Drosophila melanogaster: one gene and its partners. The protein of the gene in region 2 purifies or fractionates together with the protein of the main gene of each other region. This does not show direct contact. Each region holds a gene or a part of one and is shown on either strand. Other genes may lie near its edges.

Evidence for each region. Proteins that work in one complex are often made in the same cells at the same time.
Region 1: the proteins of ecd (region 2) and CG4849 purify together in Drosophila melanogaster (affinity purification with mass spectrometry; 2 studies listed by BioGRID, with this or other methods). This does not show direct contact.
Region 3: the proteins of ecd (region 2) and Prp8 purify together in Drosophila melanogaster (affinity purification with mass spectrometry; 2 studies listed by BioGRID, with this or other methods). This does not show direct contact.

The regions. Positions count from the first base shown.
Region 1 is NT_033777.3:27,961,470-27,967,458, reverse strand, and holds CG4849 (uncharacterized protein), read right to left. Parts: upstream 4,045-5,989; 5' UTR 3,906-4,044; intron 3,780-3,905; 5' UTR 3,772-3,779; coding exon 3,658-3,771; intron 3,598-3,657; coding exon 2,929-3,597; intron 2,871-2,928; coding exon 2,779-2,870; intron 2,720-2,778; coding exon 2,528-2,719; intron 2,475-2,527; coding exon 972-2,474; intron 907-971; coding exon 549-906; 3' UTR 501-548; downstream 1-500. Other genes in the region: betaTub97EF (beta-Tubulin at 97EF), read left to right, coding at 1-190, 258-353; CG31131 (uncharacterized protein), read left to right, coding at 4,279-5,418.
Region 2 is NT_037436.4:2,263,040-2,267,798, forward strand, and holds ecd (ecdysoneless), read right to left. Parts: upstream 2,819-4,759; 5' UTR 2,737-2,818; coding exon 2,457-2,736; intron 2,384-2,456; coding exon 609-2,383; 3' UTR 542-608; downstream 1-541. Other genes in the region: CG13807 (uncharacterized protein), read left to right, coding at 1-255, 317-507; CG13806 (uncharacterized protein), read left to right, coding at 3,463-3,492, 3,565-4,428. UniProt on the Drosophila melanogaster protein: Required in both the follicle cells and the germline for oocyte development.
Region 3 is NT_033778.4:12,159,999-12,164,952, reverse strand, and holds the start of Prp8 (pre-mRNA processing factor 8), read left to right. Parts: upstream 1-1,954; 5' UTR 1,955-2,068; intron 2,069-2,241; 5' UTR 2,242-2,259; coding exon 2,260-2,873; intron 2,874-2,929; coding exon 2,930-3,145; intron 3,146-3,205; coding exon 3,206-3,418; intron 3,419-3,480; coding exon 3,481-3,606; intron 3,607-3,649; exon of another isoform or gene 3,650-3,827; intron 3,828-3,886; coding exon 3,887-4,306; intron 4,307-4,364; coding exon 4,365-4,582; intron 4,583-4,639; coding exon 4,640-4,954. Other genes in the region: CG13177 (uncharacterized protein), read right to left, coding at 766-969, 1,032-1,091, 1,153-1,161.

The DNA of each region.
Region 1 (5,989 bases), on a different chromosome or scaffold from region 2:
GTCCGCCACCTTCATTGGCAACTCGACCGCCATCCAGGAGATCTTTAAGCGCATCTCCGAGCAGTTCACTGCCATGTTCCGGCGCAAGGCCTTCTTGCACTGGTACACCGGCGAGGGCATGGACGAGATGGAGTTCACCGAGGCCGAGAGCAACATGAACGATCTGATATCCGAGTACCAACAGTACCAGGTTAGCGATCCCTCCATATCCTTGCAAAGTATCTCTAAAAACGATTTCCATTGGTTTCCTCCTTTAGGAGGCTACCGCCGACGACGAAGTGGAGTTCGATGACGAGCAGGCCGAGCAGGAAGGCTACGAGTCGGAGGTCCTGCAGAACGGCAATGGCGAGTAAAGTCCTAGAAACTATCACAACTGTAGCTGTTTTCTGTATACTATTTTGTAAATTATTTGTCCCGAAAAGGCTTCAAATAAATATTTAGTAAATATAGTAAAAAAAAACACTACTCCCTTTAAAGTTCGCAATTGAAATTCGGAAAGTATGTCTAAATGTTTTATTTGTTTTCCCGATTCCTGATTTGTGGGAAGTCTAAAGCGGGTAGTTGATCAGCACATCCTGGCGTGCCAACTCCAGCAACATAGGATCGTCGAAGAATTTGTTGATGGACACGTCCTCGGACAGACCCTTCCTGCGACGCGTCTTGATCATAAACTCTCTGGCCAAATGGGATGCTTGCTGCGGCTCCAGTGGCCGGATTATGATGCTCTTGTCCAGGGGATCGCCAGGCACTATCTGCCAGTGATGGAACACCGAAAGGCAGAAGGCCTGGCCCTGGGTGTGCGTGCGGAGATCCGTCTCAAATCCAAATGAATCAATGGCGGGTATGAAGGCTTTGATCGTATATATGGGAGAACCCGATACGGGAGCATCCTGCGTTACGTGGCCTCTGCAAAATAGATTATATAAAATTTAGAGGCATTCTCTTACGGAAACATGAGCAGCAAAACTTACCTGCGCCTGGCCAGCACAGTATAGACAGCGGATACACAATCTGCCGGCGCCTGAACCTCCACAAATAGATATGGTTCCATTAAACGTGGGGTGGCCATCAAAAACGCCGAGTATGCCACACGACGGGCTGTTGGAATGATCTGTCCACCGCCTCGATGCAACGCCTCGTTGGCGATGACGCCATCGAGAATCTTAAACTTGACATTACGGATTGGCTCCTCGCACAGCGGCCCTTCTCGCGTTCCCCATTGGAAGCCCTGCACAATCGAATCCTTAACCGCGGTCAGCAGGTTCTTGTCCACTTCCGAGGGCAGGGTGTCGTCGACCAGGATATTTGGACCCGTGGAGTCGGGACCGAAGGCCCAAATGGAACGCGCCGCAAGCAGATCCCAATCGTAGTTGACTTGGAAGAACTCGCCGATGCGCTTTTTGTTCCAGTTTATGCAGACGGTTCCGTTCTCAATGTCCTCGGCCAGTCCCTTCTCCAGTGGCTCCGAGATCATGGTTATTTTGTTTTTCTTATTCGGCGTTTCGGCGAAACATTTCAGGGAACTCGTTTCCACAACTGTTTCGCAAAAAGCCACGACGGGATCCGCCACTTTGATGTCGATCTCGGAGTACATCTTCCGCAGATCGTGCATGACACAATCCAAGTACAGCTCGCCAGTGCCCAGAATAACATGCTCGCCGGATTCTTCAACTCGAGTGGAGAGAAGTGGATAGGATTTATTCACCTTGCGGAGGCCATCCAACATCTTGGGAAGCTCGGATGGATTCACTGGCTCCACAGCAATCTTGATAATGCTCTGGGTGTTGAACTTCAGTGGTCGGAATATGTAGAGGTCTTCTGGAACATTAATATCCACAATTGTGGAGGTCTTAACGATACACTGATCGATGCCTTCGATGAGCACCCAATTTCCGGCGGGTACACGATTTAACTCCACCTTGTAACGAGACTCAAATACCCACAGACGACCGACTTGCAGAATGCGAGAGTCCTCCTCATCCTGCAAGGTGTAGTTCTCTCCCAGGACACGCACCTCCTGGCCAGCGTGTAGAGTACCAGAGACAATCCTCGCCAGCACTTGGAAGAAGGTACAGTCGTCGTTGGGATACATCTTGGAACTGTGCACCATCAGAGTGCCGTATTGGTTGCATGATATCATATCCCGGTAAATGTCACCCTCTTTGGGTCCAGTGTATATATGGTCCACCTTTCGCTTGGCATTTTCCAAAGGGGATTTAATGTGCTCCACGCACATATCCACAAAACCGCTGCAGTCGCCCATGAAGCGGTTACAGACGAGACGCAGCAGTGGTCTTATATTGGACTTCATCTCCTCCTTGGAGACGCGCACATTCAGCTCGGCCAGAGTGTCCGACAAAGTGGTGTCCACATCGCCAACCACCTGGGCTATCAGCTTGTACATGGGCTCCAAAATGAACTCCACAAAGCTGCGCTGTGCCGAATTGTGCGGCTGCTTCTTCGAGAACTTGCGCCTATTAAAATAGTTGGTATTAGCAAATGATTTGGATATTTAGGCAGCACTTACGTTTTACTGTTGAAGTACATGTCACCCCAGAGCCGCTTGGCAAAGTCCAGGTAAGCCACTCCCTCATAGGTGTCTGCATACAGCTTGGCAAAGGATTTCAGAGTGAAACAAAATCCGTACAACGAGCTGGCGAAGCACACGTTGCCCAAAATAGGCGAAACTAAGAGATTGTCATCTGGAGCGCCATAGGTGCTGTAAGAAAATTACACATTAGTAAAATCATTAGTGTTGAGTATGAATCACGTAATCACCTCAGCAGCCCATTGACTTCCTCCACAATGTGTTTCAACTTAAAGTAGGCGTCCTGGGGCGGCAATTTCAGCTCCAGGATGAGGCGATCAATCTGCACGTCAGAGGAAACCATTAGAAAGTTTAGTGTCACCTTAAGGCCAAACCCTCACCTTGTTTATGCAAACGGTGATAGCCTGGCGCTCTTGCACCGCGTGCTTGAGCAGTCGCTCCGTGTTGAGCATGACGCCCTCGGCGGCATCGATGAACAGCACGACACCATCGCTCATTCGCATGGCGGCGGTGGCCTCGTCCGAGAAGTTGACATGCCCCGGGGTGTCGAAGATGTTCAGCAAGTAGCTCTTCTGTTTGACATCCTGCAGGACAAGTGTGACCGGCGTGGCCTTGATGCTGCAGCCGCGTTCCTGTTCCGTGAACAGGGTGTCCGTGTAGCGCAACTGGCGCTCCTCCATGGTCTCAAATTGCGGATGCGTCTGCCGGATGAGGCAGTCGACAAAGGTGGTCTTGCCGTGGTGCAGGTGGCCAACCAAAGCCACGTTGCGAATAAGCGGCGGAGTGTCCATGAGATCGGCCATGAACTCCATGTCGTAGGTGGTCTCCTGCATGTCTTGCTCCTTGATCTGGAACTTGAGCTTCTTCACTGGCTCTATAAGCGGCTTGTCCAGCGGCTGGGCGTCCTCCTCCTGGACAATGGTCTCCACATCCGGGCCGTAGACCTCAACTGCTGACGGATAGTAGCGTTTGTCCTCGTGCAAAACCACGGCGGTCACCTCCTTGTCCTCGTCCTCCTGTGGCTCCACCTCGTCCTCGTCCATGGCGTCCTTTAAATGAAACACCATAAATTAATTATAAGTTTTATTTTATTTTTTGCACGTTTATACCTCTGGGTCATCCTGCACATCGGGTTGCCCATAAATACTTTGCTCATCTTCCTCGTCGCTGTCTAAATCGGGGCCAATATAGTTGCCAAACTCATCGTACAAATCGGAATCCATGGTTTTTCCTAAAATAAATATATATATCAATACTTTCATTCAAAATTTGCCGGTGGCGTCTTAGAAAATTTAAAACTTTCACGGTGACTCGAAACTTATGCTACTCTTGTTTTTTGTTGTTTTTACCGACTTACCAATTGTTACAGGACCTTCTGATTGCTAAATTCTTCTTTAAAACGTAAGAAAACTGCAAATAATATAATTATTCACAATTTTTACACAAAAACGCGGACTGCAAACACGCTGTTCTTCTTCTTCCCCGAAAAACACTCAGCTGTTAAGCGGCCGGCATTACCTACGGCATTGCCAGCACAAATAAAGTAAGCGCTTGCAGCCCTGGCGGCAACATTTGAATTTTCCAGTTCATTAGGGCTAATTAACGTTTTTGCCAAGAAAGCAGGTAGCTAAAATACGCGTTGAAACGTAGGTAGACCCTTGCGTTTATATTGCACTGCAGTCGCCAAAGGTAATTAGTCGAAAGTGTCAACCGAAGGTATCAGCATCATAATGAGAAAATTCTGTTTGCTTCTTTTAATGGCGCATTTTGTGGCCTCAAGCCGAAATTTAAACGATATTCTCGGTCGCGAGGAGTGGATTAGCATAGCCAAGGAATACATCAAGAACCACAAGCCTTACAAAGCCAAAATCTACACACCCTACAAGCCGCGCATCGTAAATTTTACCAATCCGTTCGATGGAGATTTTTGGGACACAACTACGGTGGCCACCAATCCGCAGGAGACTACTGGCTACTTCACTGGGGAAGTATCTACTACAACGGAGAAAAGTGCCACTGAGGAATCTACAACTACGGCGGTGGATTATTCAACCACCGAATCTAGTTATGTAACTTCAACCACGGATACTTTATATTCCACGACAACAGCTTGGCCGGAAGTCACCAGCACAGATGCTATAGATGCCACTGAATCAGTAGCCCTATATTCCACAACAACTTCGAGTCCAGAAGCTGCAGATTCAACGACAGAAAGCAATTCAGACAGTACTGAATATGCTGAATCAACGTTAATTTATCCAGATTTATCTACAGGATGGCAAGAAACTACTACAGAAACCATTCAGAGCTCTACAGGATTGCAGGAATCAACAACAACAGAGTTTATGCCAAGTACTACGGAATTTCCGGAATCAACGACTACTTTAAGTTCTGAATTTTCAGAGAAAGAACTAATAAAAACTACCACAGAAATAGAAATCAATCCAAGCACTACAGAATTGCCGGAATCAACGACTGAATCTGCTGATTCTACCACAGAACCGAACGAATCCACGTTTGCATTATCCACAGATCAAACTACAACTGAAACAGCAGAAACTTCAACAGAAGAATTGTTTTCAACCACAGAAACCCAGGAATCTACTACATCCTTGCTGGAAATCATTGCCACGACTCCGGGCGTGGAAACTACCACGTCGTATCTGGATGCAGTGATTGACAGCACCGAAGAGGAAAGTTCTACATTATCAACACCATTTGGATTTAATTTAACAACAACGGAAATAGTAGAAACTCAAGTAGAAACCACAACACCAAGGCAATTGAATTTCGTCGAAGATTACGTTCGCCAGAGACCGAGAAAATTGAAGTACTCTTCGGACACGGAGCCGGAACTTTACTGGTACTGAAAATGATTGCAAATAAAAATTAAGAGTTTGATTAAAAATTTTTAGAAGCAAAAATTAAGAGTTTTAATTTAAATAAAAACGTAAAGCAATTGGCAACGCGATTTAAGCTATGGCTTATTTTAAACTAAGAAACGCGGTCACACTGGCCAAAAGCCAAACACATTGTTGTTTGATTTTTCAGCAGAAATTTTTTATTTTTTATTAGTTTATATCGTAAACATGAGTTTGTCCAGCATAAAACAGAAAGAAGCTAAGGGCAAAAAGAAATTGCTGCCCAAACTGCGCAATATTCTAGCCAATCCTTACAAACAGCACAGGTGAGGCGGGCAGAAACCAATAAAAACCCAATCAACAGGTTGTTTCTTTTGACTTTAGCCCTCTTTTATCGGAGGAGGAAGTGCAGCAGTTCCGTCAGATCCTTCAGAATGCAATTAAAAGCAGCGACGGGCAGACCAAATCGTTTGCCACTCGATACGGAATACATCTCGGCCTGGAGAGCTCCCTACGCGCCATAAACTCGCGGCGTTTCTCCTGCCTATTGGTTTCCTTGAGCCTGCGACCAACTCACCTC
Region 2 (4,759 bases):
AGCTTGAGTTCGCAGACCGCTTCACTGACGACGACCCAGAGTTCATGGCGCACTGCAGCAAGCCTGTGCCGGAGCCGCCAATTGTGGAGAACTGGATGGGAGGTGGCGGAGGAGGAGGCGGCTTCCAGGGCGGAGGAGGCGGTGGTCATCCCTACCACAATCGCTACAACGGACATCGCAGAGGAGGCGGCGACAGGGGCTGGCAGCGACGAGGAGGAGCTGGCTACCACAACAACCAGGACAGGGGATTCAGGGGTAATACCCGGGAAGAAGCTCAGTTTCTATTTATAGCTTACCAACGCATTTGTTCCCACAGACAACCGGCGCAACAACAGATACGATCACATCGATCGCCGGAATCGGTACGAAGGAGGCGGAGGGTCCGGAGGATCTGGAGGCTACAAGCGCTCCCATGATCATAACCAGAGAAATGATACTCCCAATAACGAACCACCCATGAAGGTCAGACGCGACTATGGAAACTTTGTGCCTGCATCCAAGGATTAGTTATCGAATATATCAAATAAGAATACTCTGCATTACATTGAAATATTCACATTGACGTTTATTTAATGGACTTAAGACTATACTAATTCCTGTAATCCCGCTTAAACGGCCGACTCAGATATATCCTTTTGTTCCTTGTCCTCGACAGCCGACATGCCCACGCCCATGGCGCTAAACAGATTGGATACAGGACCTGCGCCGCCAACCTGCGATTGGTAGCTATCCATCATGTTGCGCAGCGTGTTTACGTTTATATTGATGGGCTCAAAGTCCTCAATGTCATCGAAATCGTCCTCGTCCGCCTGTGGAGCTGTCTTCTTCTTGCCGTGGAAGGACTTGCCCACGCTGGTCTGAGCCAACTCGCGGTCCATCTGCTCCATATACGATTGAATCTGTCGATCGAGTGGGAACACACTGCCGCCTCCAGAAAGTGCATTTAGATTACTCTCCATGTCGTCCTCGTCCGCGTAGTCGCTCATCTCCGAGGTGGAGTCCCAGTTGTCCTCGGGTATTACGAAATCCAGGAAATTCCGCACATGGGTGCTGTCCGGTTCCTCCGGCTGGATGACGGAATTGCGCTGGCACGCCTTGCGCATGGAGGGATTCTTCTTGACCTTTGCTGTCAGTCCTGTGGAACCGTTTGCCTGCGGCGGCGGCTCGTCATCGTCTGAGTCCAGTTCTGGCTCCTCGAGCCCTCGGTGCTCAATGCCCTCGTAGTTGGACTGCCGATCTAAGAACTCCGCCAGCTGCTTGGTGAACTCCTCGGCATTCATTTGTCCGTTCGGCTTGTAGAGCTTCTTGGGTCCGTAGCGATCCTGCAGCATGGAGTCTAGATCCTCAGCGCTGATATTCAACCACTCATCCGAGTCGCTGGGCTGCAGGTTGTTCTCCTCATCGCGCAGCTCCTCGGAAGCAGCCTCCGCTGGATGGAGCAACAGGTCGAGGATCTCGGCACCCGCTCTGGAGGCTGTGCGGAAACGCTCCTGGTTGCCACGAAAGTACACCTTGGCCTTGTTCAGCAGCTCCTGGTACTCGGCACTGCCCTCGATGTTGTCCCGGAAGTAGCCCTTGCTCAGCAAGCTCCGCAGATACGATCGCCAGGCAGGAAGGTCCTCCAGCTGTTGGCCCTCAACCCGCTTGGCTTGAGTGGCCAGGATCTCCAGTCCACTGGCCAGCTTCAAGCCCAATAGTTGTTCCTTATATCGTTCCGGCTCGGATACAGGATCCGTGAGATGCCAGCCGAGTCTCTTCTCGGGCAGATACTGCTGGTGCGACAACATGGCGTACAGACAGCGGGTGAAACGCACGTTGGTGCGCACGCGTGTGGCCTCCGGTGGGAAATATCGCATGGTGCGAAGTGCCTTGATGTCCAGCGAGTCCCGCTCGCAGAAAGCCCTAACCGCCGAGGAGAGCAGCCTTGGCTTCTGTTTCAGAAGCTGTGCAGCGCTATGCGGGAGCTCCAGCACCTGGCGATGAATGGAGAAGTGCGGCTGAGCGATCTGGTACTCCTTAAGCCGCGCGTCAATGCACGACTGTATCTCCTGCGAGCAGCGGTACAGGGTGGGATTCATTCGTATACGTTGCACAGCCATGGCCATGGTCAGTGGCTTGTCCTGGCTGCTGGCGGCGGAGTTCTGGAGAAGCTGCAGGTGACCACCGACCAGATAAACGCGCTGCTCGCACGTTTCCGGAGACGCCCAGTCGGGCAGGGCGTCCGCCGCCTCGATGAGCAGGAACTCGCCATCCGAATCGCTCACCCGTGCAATGCAGTCGCCGCGTGCACGTGTGATCTCCGTGAGCAGATAGACAACGAACCACTCGTCGCTGATGTTGTCGCCATAGTGGGTTACGCCGTGGAAGTGCGGTGGGAGGTCGCCTGGGCGGGGACATGGAAATGGATGATTTCGAATTGCAGAAACAAAGCTATTTATAGCACATTGTGCGCATACCCAGTTCCGCCTCCTCCTCCGGGTTTGTCTCCTCGTTCAGCAGGCGCTCCTCGGCGCCGCCCAGCCTCACCTGAAGCTGAAACTCGTCCTTGTGCCACAGATAGCTGCGCTCTAAGGACTTTTCCCTTACAATGGCCGAGATCTCGTTGCGGATCTGAAGCATCAGTTTGCGCAGCGCGCCCTCATCCTGTACGTTGTCGGGGATCTTGGGAAAGATGTAGTACTCCACGAAGTCCTCCTCGCGGACGAACTCCAGATTGCTGCCTGGAATCTTGCTCATCCTTTGTCCTTTTGCTCCTCCTCCTTTTTTTTATTTGTTAGGGCGTTCGAGGTGACACTATCGACATGAGTGCGTGCTTCCGAACTGACTATCGTTCAAAGAAGTTCGTTCACACTGGTCGCGCAGCAGGGTTCCGCTTCAGCAGAGCGGTGGAGGACGTGGCTAAGCGCTTAGCGGTGACCCAACCCATTCCCGTTATTTCTCTCAGCGATTTTTTATGATTGAAGATTAGGTATGAACCGAAGATTAGGCATTAAATTCCTTTACTAAAAGTGCATATTTACAAAAGCTAGCGGTCAGTTTTATTGAAAGAAATGGTATTTAAATATTTACTCGAGAGCACTTTAAAGTGCTCTGAATAAGTCGGCCAAACAAAATCCCGACTTGTTTACACATTAAACACCCACTCCACTTGACACTCCAGCTAGTTGGACCAATTTTTAGTAAATGTCGTTCACTCACCCATCATTGCGGCATTCCGATCCGCGTAGTTGTTGTAATTAGAAACGCCGCTGCGTTTGCCACTTTGCCCAACTCCCATCGCCTTTTCAAAGTTGATAGATAGACAAACAGACACCCAAAAGATATAAAACGCTATCTAAAGTCTGCTATTTCGGGACTTTTATTGCTGTCACCATATGAGTCTGAATCAGACAATCGAAGATTCTCGTGGAAGTTGGACCTAAACTAACCAGAAACAAAGTCCAAAAGGGGAAATACATCGTCATGTTCTTGGAAAGAATACTAGTGAGCGTGGTAGGTAGTTTTTCAGAATAGGATAAACTTAAGTGAATGGCATTTGATTTTTATGTCCCCACCGCCCAACAGTTACTGCTCAACCTGGTGGCTCTGCTTATGGGAGCCACTGTTACCACCCGGCGCATCCAGCCGCGGGAGACAAACTCCTGCGAGGGCCGTCAGAGTCCCGGGCCCATCTGCGAGTCCTGCGAGCTGCTGGCCACCTGCGTGCGTCACTCCAACGGATGGGTGAACATTCCCGTGGAATCGTGCGACGTGGCTAATGGATACTACTGCAACGCCCGGCTGGGGAGCTGCACCAACGAGACGGGCCCGTGTCATCCGTTCGGCATCGAGGGCAACTTTCAGTGCACCTCGCAAGGCATCTTTCCAGATCCGTACGACTGCCAGAAGTACCACATGTGCTACTTCGTGGGGGCCACTCTGGTGGCTGCTGCCGTTGATTGCGGCAACGACAAGGCCTTCGATGCGACGACTGGCCAGTGCACTTTGACCCTGACTGACTCCGTCTGCCTGCAGCGACAGTACTACTGCCCCAATGCCGGACACGTGGCCGCCTGGCCCACCAATCCCAATATCTTCTACGTGTGCAAGTCGACGGTTAACCAGAACCTGAACGACACCATCGTCATCTACCCCTCGCTGCACAGGTGCAACGATGGCGAGACCTTCGTGGACTACGTCTGCCGCAGCGGATCGAATGTCCTGCCGCCCAGCACCGATGATCCTTCGGTGATCATCGAGGATCCCAACGACGACGACTTTTCGGTGCTGCCCAACACCTGTCAGCACGTGGGCTTGATGGCCGATGGAAACGACTGCCGGAAGTACTACTACTGCTCGGCTCTAAATGGCACCCTGCGGCACATGGACTGCCCCAATGGGACTTACTACCGACCGGAGCTATCCTCCTGCGTCCTGGGAAGCTGCTGAGGAAGATGCATTCCTGCACTTTATTTATTCCTCTTCAATGGATTACATTTAATAAACAACTCATGTTTACCCTGGAATAACAATCTATTTGACATGAATTTATGAATTCCCATTTCAAAAGGTATCAGTTTGATAATAAAGATTCAACCACCATGTCCGTGGGTAATTAAACCAGAATGAGTTCTTTGTTTTTTTCCAATAAAAGTGCAATAGAAATGGACTAGTACTGTCTTGGTTCTTTCTTGCTAAGAGTGCTGTGACTAGGTCATAAATGTTCCATAGAATGTTTTTTTCGTGACAACATTGCAGTTTATCTATTAATTATACCGAA
Region 3 (4,954 bases), on a different chromosome or scaffold from region 2:
ATGACCAAATAAACACACATTTCATAAATGATATTAATATCCACAAGCAGCTTCAACTTTTAATAATTTGGAACACTTGATGTAGGAAATGCATTTAACTTGGATTTTAAGTTGAAAAACAGGTAGTATTTCAGAGAATTATGAGTTTTAAATAGTTTATGGCCGCAATAACTAACTTCTATAGTATGGTTTTCTTTTGAAATTTTACAAAGAGTTATATACTATATAAACTTCTGGCTGATATCCATTGTATAGACCAGCTTTCTTGTGACCCCGTTTATGGCCTGAAATTTGGCCATGTGGATCGTTAAAGATAGGTCCAACTAAAGGTTCAGATGTGTGTAATTACTCGACTTGGCCAACTCGGAATTTTGCTGGCCGGCTTATGTATGTTACGTTAGCCGCCTCAATTTCTTTGGAAGTTCAAAAAACAAAAAAGAAATCCGGTTTTGGACAATTGAAATTTGAAAATAATAAACCACACATGCGAGCGTAGTCGTACGTAAAGTGTTTTTTGTTTTTGTTTTGTTTTTATTGCAATAAAGCCGGTGTTAATTGTGCTCTGGGGTCAAAAACTGCCGCTGACGTCATCAACTCGTCGTTGCAAGACAGTGAAAGGGTTAAAATTTCAAAACTGGGGGGCTTGCTTGTATAACTTCTTTGGTCACTAGTGCGATTACATAGGATTTTGTGGATTAAGGAACGTATGTCCATATGTCTGAAACTTCTTGCTTAAGGAACGTTTTTCGGTCTGGCATCATAGTATTATCCCCAAACTGGGTAAATTCGGGGACGATAGAATCCGCCTCCGTAGGAGCGATATCCGCCGTAGCCGCCGTAACCGGAATATCCGCCGTACTTGTAGCCACCTCCATAGCCGCCGTAGTAAATTGGCGATGGAGCTGCATAGTAGCCGTAGCCAATGGAGTCCGCGGTGGAGAGATCAGCCTCCTCAGCGGGTTTCTTGTCCTGCCAAGCGAATGGATTTTGTTGGTTGGTTTTGAAATGGAAAAACTAAAGATATGACCTACCTCTATAGGAGCTGCGCTGATGAATCCGATAATAGCCAGGCACAAAAGGATGGAAAATAACTGAAAATGTTCACAACATTTACTCATTATGATAGAAACACTTTTTGTTTGTGTGTAATACCTTTGCCATTGTTGCTTTTATTTGCGAAATTTAACGGGGATGCACTCTAGATTTTATGTTTTTCTCTCAAATTAGCAACTTTTCCCGATCGTGTTCTGGCCAGAAGCGTTGTTGTCCGTAAACTGTGATCCCCAGCGACCTGCCGACAATATTTATAGTGGCCCAAAACGTCCCGGGGATCGATTTTGCACATGATCATTGATTGGACAAACATTCGGGAGTCTGGGGATGTCGTTACCCGATGCGAAATGAGGTGTTTCATTATCACAGATGACTCGATGGGATCTTCCAATTCGGTTATTTGAATTTCTAAGCTACAGTGAGCATTAGTTAATGGCCAAAGAAAAAGTTATTTAGTGTTTTATTTATTCGGTTTGTTGTTAGCTAAAGTCGACTGTGTGTTCTTATTTTTACCAGTCATCAACAATAATATTGACGCACTACACTAATTAAGTTCCTAATTATTAATATTAACACATTTGTTGACGAGCTGATTCATTGATTTAATTACAAGGATTTAGCCTTAATTAAAAATGCTAATGTCTCGATATTTTTTACTACTACAATACAAAGTAATTTAAGTGAATAAGGCTAATTAGTTTTAGTCGTCGCAGTTTTGGTGAATTTGTAATATATTCCCCAATAACACCGTTATTTAAATTTTCAAATTTGCTCGCACTTTGTGTGGTTATCTTGACTGCTTTTTACCACTAGACTGTTTAGCAATTCACCTAATCTCTCGATAGACGATAGATGTCTTATCGATTGAGTGATGTGACCGTTCTACTATTCTATAAATGGCTGCCGCATGAAAAAGTAAACCTCTCGTTTTGCGAACCGGAAAAATTGTGAATTGCGGCCAAAGAAAGGCAGAAAAAGTGCCAAATAGGCAGTACAGTTGCAAATTAACTGCCAGGTAAGATATTCAAACCAAGATTAGCTGGGGGAAAAGCGAAATTTACGCTTTTTCACAGCGTGGTGAAAATTGCAAAAGACCGCGACGTCGGCGGCGGCATTTCGATTTCTCCCCCTGAAACAAAACGTGTCTGTGTGTCGTAAAGTGTATGTTTTTCGTCGTTTATTGATTAGGATAAGTGCCGCGGAACGATGTCCATTCCGCCGTACATGATACCACAAAATGCGTGGGCAGCCCAGCTGATGGCCCAGCAGGCCTACGCGGCTGCCCATGCTCAGCAGGCTCAACTGCACGCCCAGCAGCAGATGGCCAACCAAATTCAGCAGATTCCGCCACCGGGGGCTCCGCTGCCGCCGGCCGGTGGCCATACCAACGGTATACCCATCCCGGTGGGAGGTCAGGGACCCGGATTGGGCCAGATTCCCACGCCCAAGCCGGACATACTCACCGAGGAGAAGCTGCAGGAGAAGGCGCTTAAATGGCAGCATCTGCAGTCCAAGCGATTCGCTGAGAAGCGCAAGTTTGGCTTCGTGGATACCCAGAAGGAGGATATGCCGCCGGAGCACATCAGGAAGATCATTCGCGATCACGGAGATATGACGTCGCGCAAGTATCGTCATGACAAGCGAGTATATCTCGGCGCCCTGAAGTACATGCCACATGCTGTGCTCAAGCTGCTAGAGAACATGCCAATGCCATGGGAGCAGATCCGGGATGTCCAGGTGCTGTACCACATCACTGGAGCCATTACCTTTGTCAATGAGATTCCCTGGGTTATTGAGCCCGTCTACATAGCACAATGGGGGTAAGTTGACTTTAACTTGTCCTCGTGGACACAACTGACGTTAAACACTTCCGCAGTACAATGTGGATCATGATGCGGCGTGAGAAACGCGATCGTCGCCACTTTAAGCGCATGAGATTCCCGCCATTTGACGATGAAGAGCCGCCTCTAGACTATGCCGACAACGTGCTGGACGTGGAGCCCTTGGAGGCCATTCAAATTGAGCTGGACAATGACGAAGACAATGCTGTATACAAATGGTTTTATGACCATCGTCCTCTAGTGGATACACAGTGAGTTTTGATTTGTCATTTATATCTGATCTTGTTTTGATTCATTTATTACCATCTAAGGTTTGTGAACGGCACTACCTACCGAAAGTGGAATCTTTCCCTGCCTCAGCTAGCCACGCTGTATCGATTGGCCAATCAATTGCTCACCGATCTAGTCGACAATAACTTCTTTTATTTGTTTGACCCAAAAAGTTTCTTCACCGCCAAGGCTCTTAATATGGCCATTCCAGGAGGACCTAAGTTTGAACCCCTCATTAAGGACCACAATGTTGGGTAAGACAATGCATACCCTAAATACTTGTTAAAATGTAATTCCTGCTTTTATTTAATTTTAGGGACGAGGATTGGAACGAGTTCAATGACATTAACAAAGTCATTATCCGGCAGCCAATTCGCACGGAATACCGCATTGCCTTTCCTTACTTGTACAACAATATGCCACACTTTGTGCATTTGAGCTGGTAAGAGTCCACATTCTTCAAAAATTACCATTCTAAAATCTTATTTACGTGGTTAGAAACGTTTCCAAGTGATCAGCCTCTCTGGAAATGCTTCATGCCGCGTTAGAAAAACGACGAGCTCCCAGGTTACTGCCAAATTTGCGATAAAACGGGAGCTGCAATGAATATGTTCGTGGCGATTGTTAAGAATTAATCGTGACTGCTGATAGTTGCATACATATAAACTCATTTGTAGCTTAGAGGATCCACATGACCACATGATGTACTTTGTCTATTTCAGGTATCACACTCCCAACGTGGTCTACATCAAGACCGAAGATCCCGATCTGCCTGCATTTTACTTTGATCCGCTCATCAATCCCATATCCCATCGCAATGCAAACTCGAAGATTCAGGAGCCCCTACCTGATGACGACGAGGACTTTACTCTTCCGGACGACGTGCAGCCGTTCCTGCAGGACACTCCCCTGTACACTGACAACACTGCAAACGGAATCGCCTTGCTGTGGGCACCCCGCCCCTTTAACATGCGCTCTGGTCGCTCCCGTCGTGCCATCGATGTGCCGCTGGTCAAGTGCTGGTACAAGGAGCATTGTCCACCTGGCCATCCGGTTAAGGTGCGCGTTAGCTACCAGAAACTGCTCAAATACTATGTGCTCAATGCCCTAAAACACCGCAAACCAAAGCCACAAAAGAAACGGTGAGTTTTATTTAAATCAAACTATAGAAACGTTTTGAATTGTATCCTTACTTTGCAGCTACCTCTTCCGTTCGTTTAAGGCCACAAAATTCTTCCAGACCACAACTCTGGATTGGGTTGAGGCTGGACTGCAAGTTTGTCGTCAGGGATATAACATGTTGAATCTATTGATTCACCGAAAAAATCTTAACTACTTGCATTTAGATTACAATTTCAACTTGAAGCCCGTTAAAACTCTGACCACCAAGGAGCGTAAGAAGTCGCGATTCGGAAATGGTAAGCAGTTAAATTTCTAAAAATTTCCCTTTTATCAATTCCTTTCATTCCTATTAGCTTTCCATTTGTGCCGTGAGATCCTGCGTCTGACCAAGCTAATCATTGACTCTCATGTTCAGTATCGGCTAAACAATGTGGACGCCTTTCAGTTGGCTGACGGACTGCAGTACATATTCGCCCATGTTGGCCAGCTGACTGGCATGTATCGCTATAAATACAAGCTGATGAGGCAGATTCGAATGTGTAAGGATCTGAAACATTTGATATACTATCGCTTCAACACGGGGCCCGTGGGCAAGGGACCCGGATGTGGCTTTTGGGCACCTGGATGGCGAGTCTGGCTGTTCTTTATGCGCGGCATCACTCCGCTAC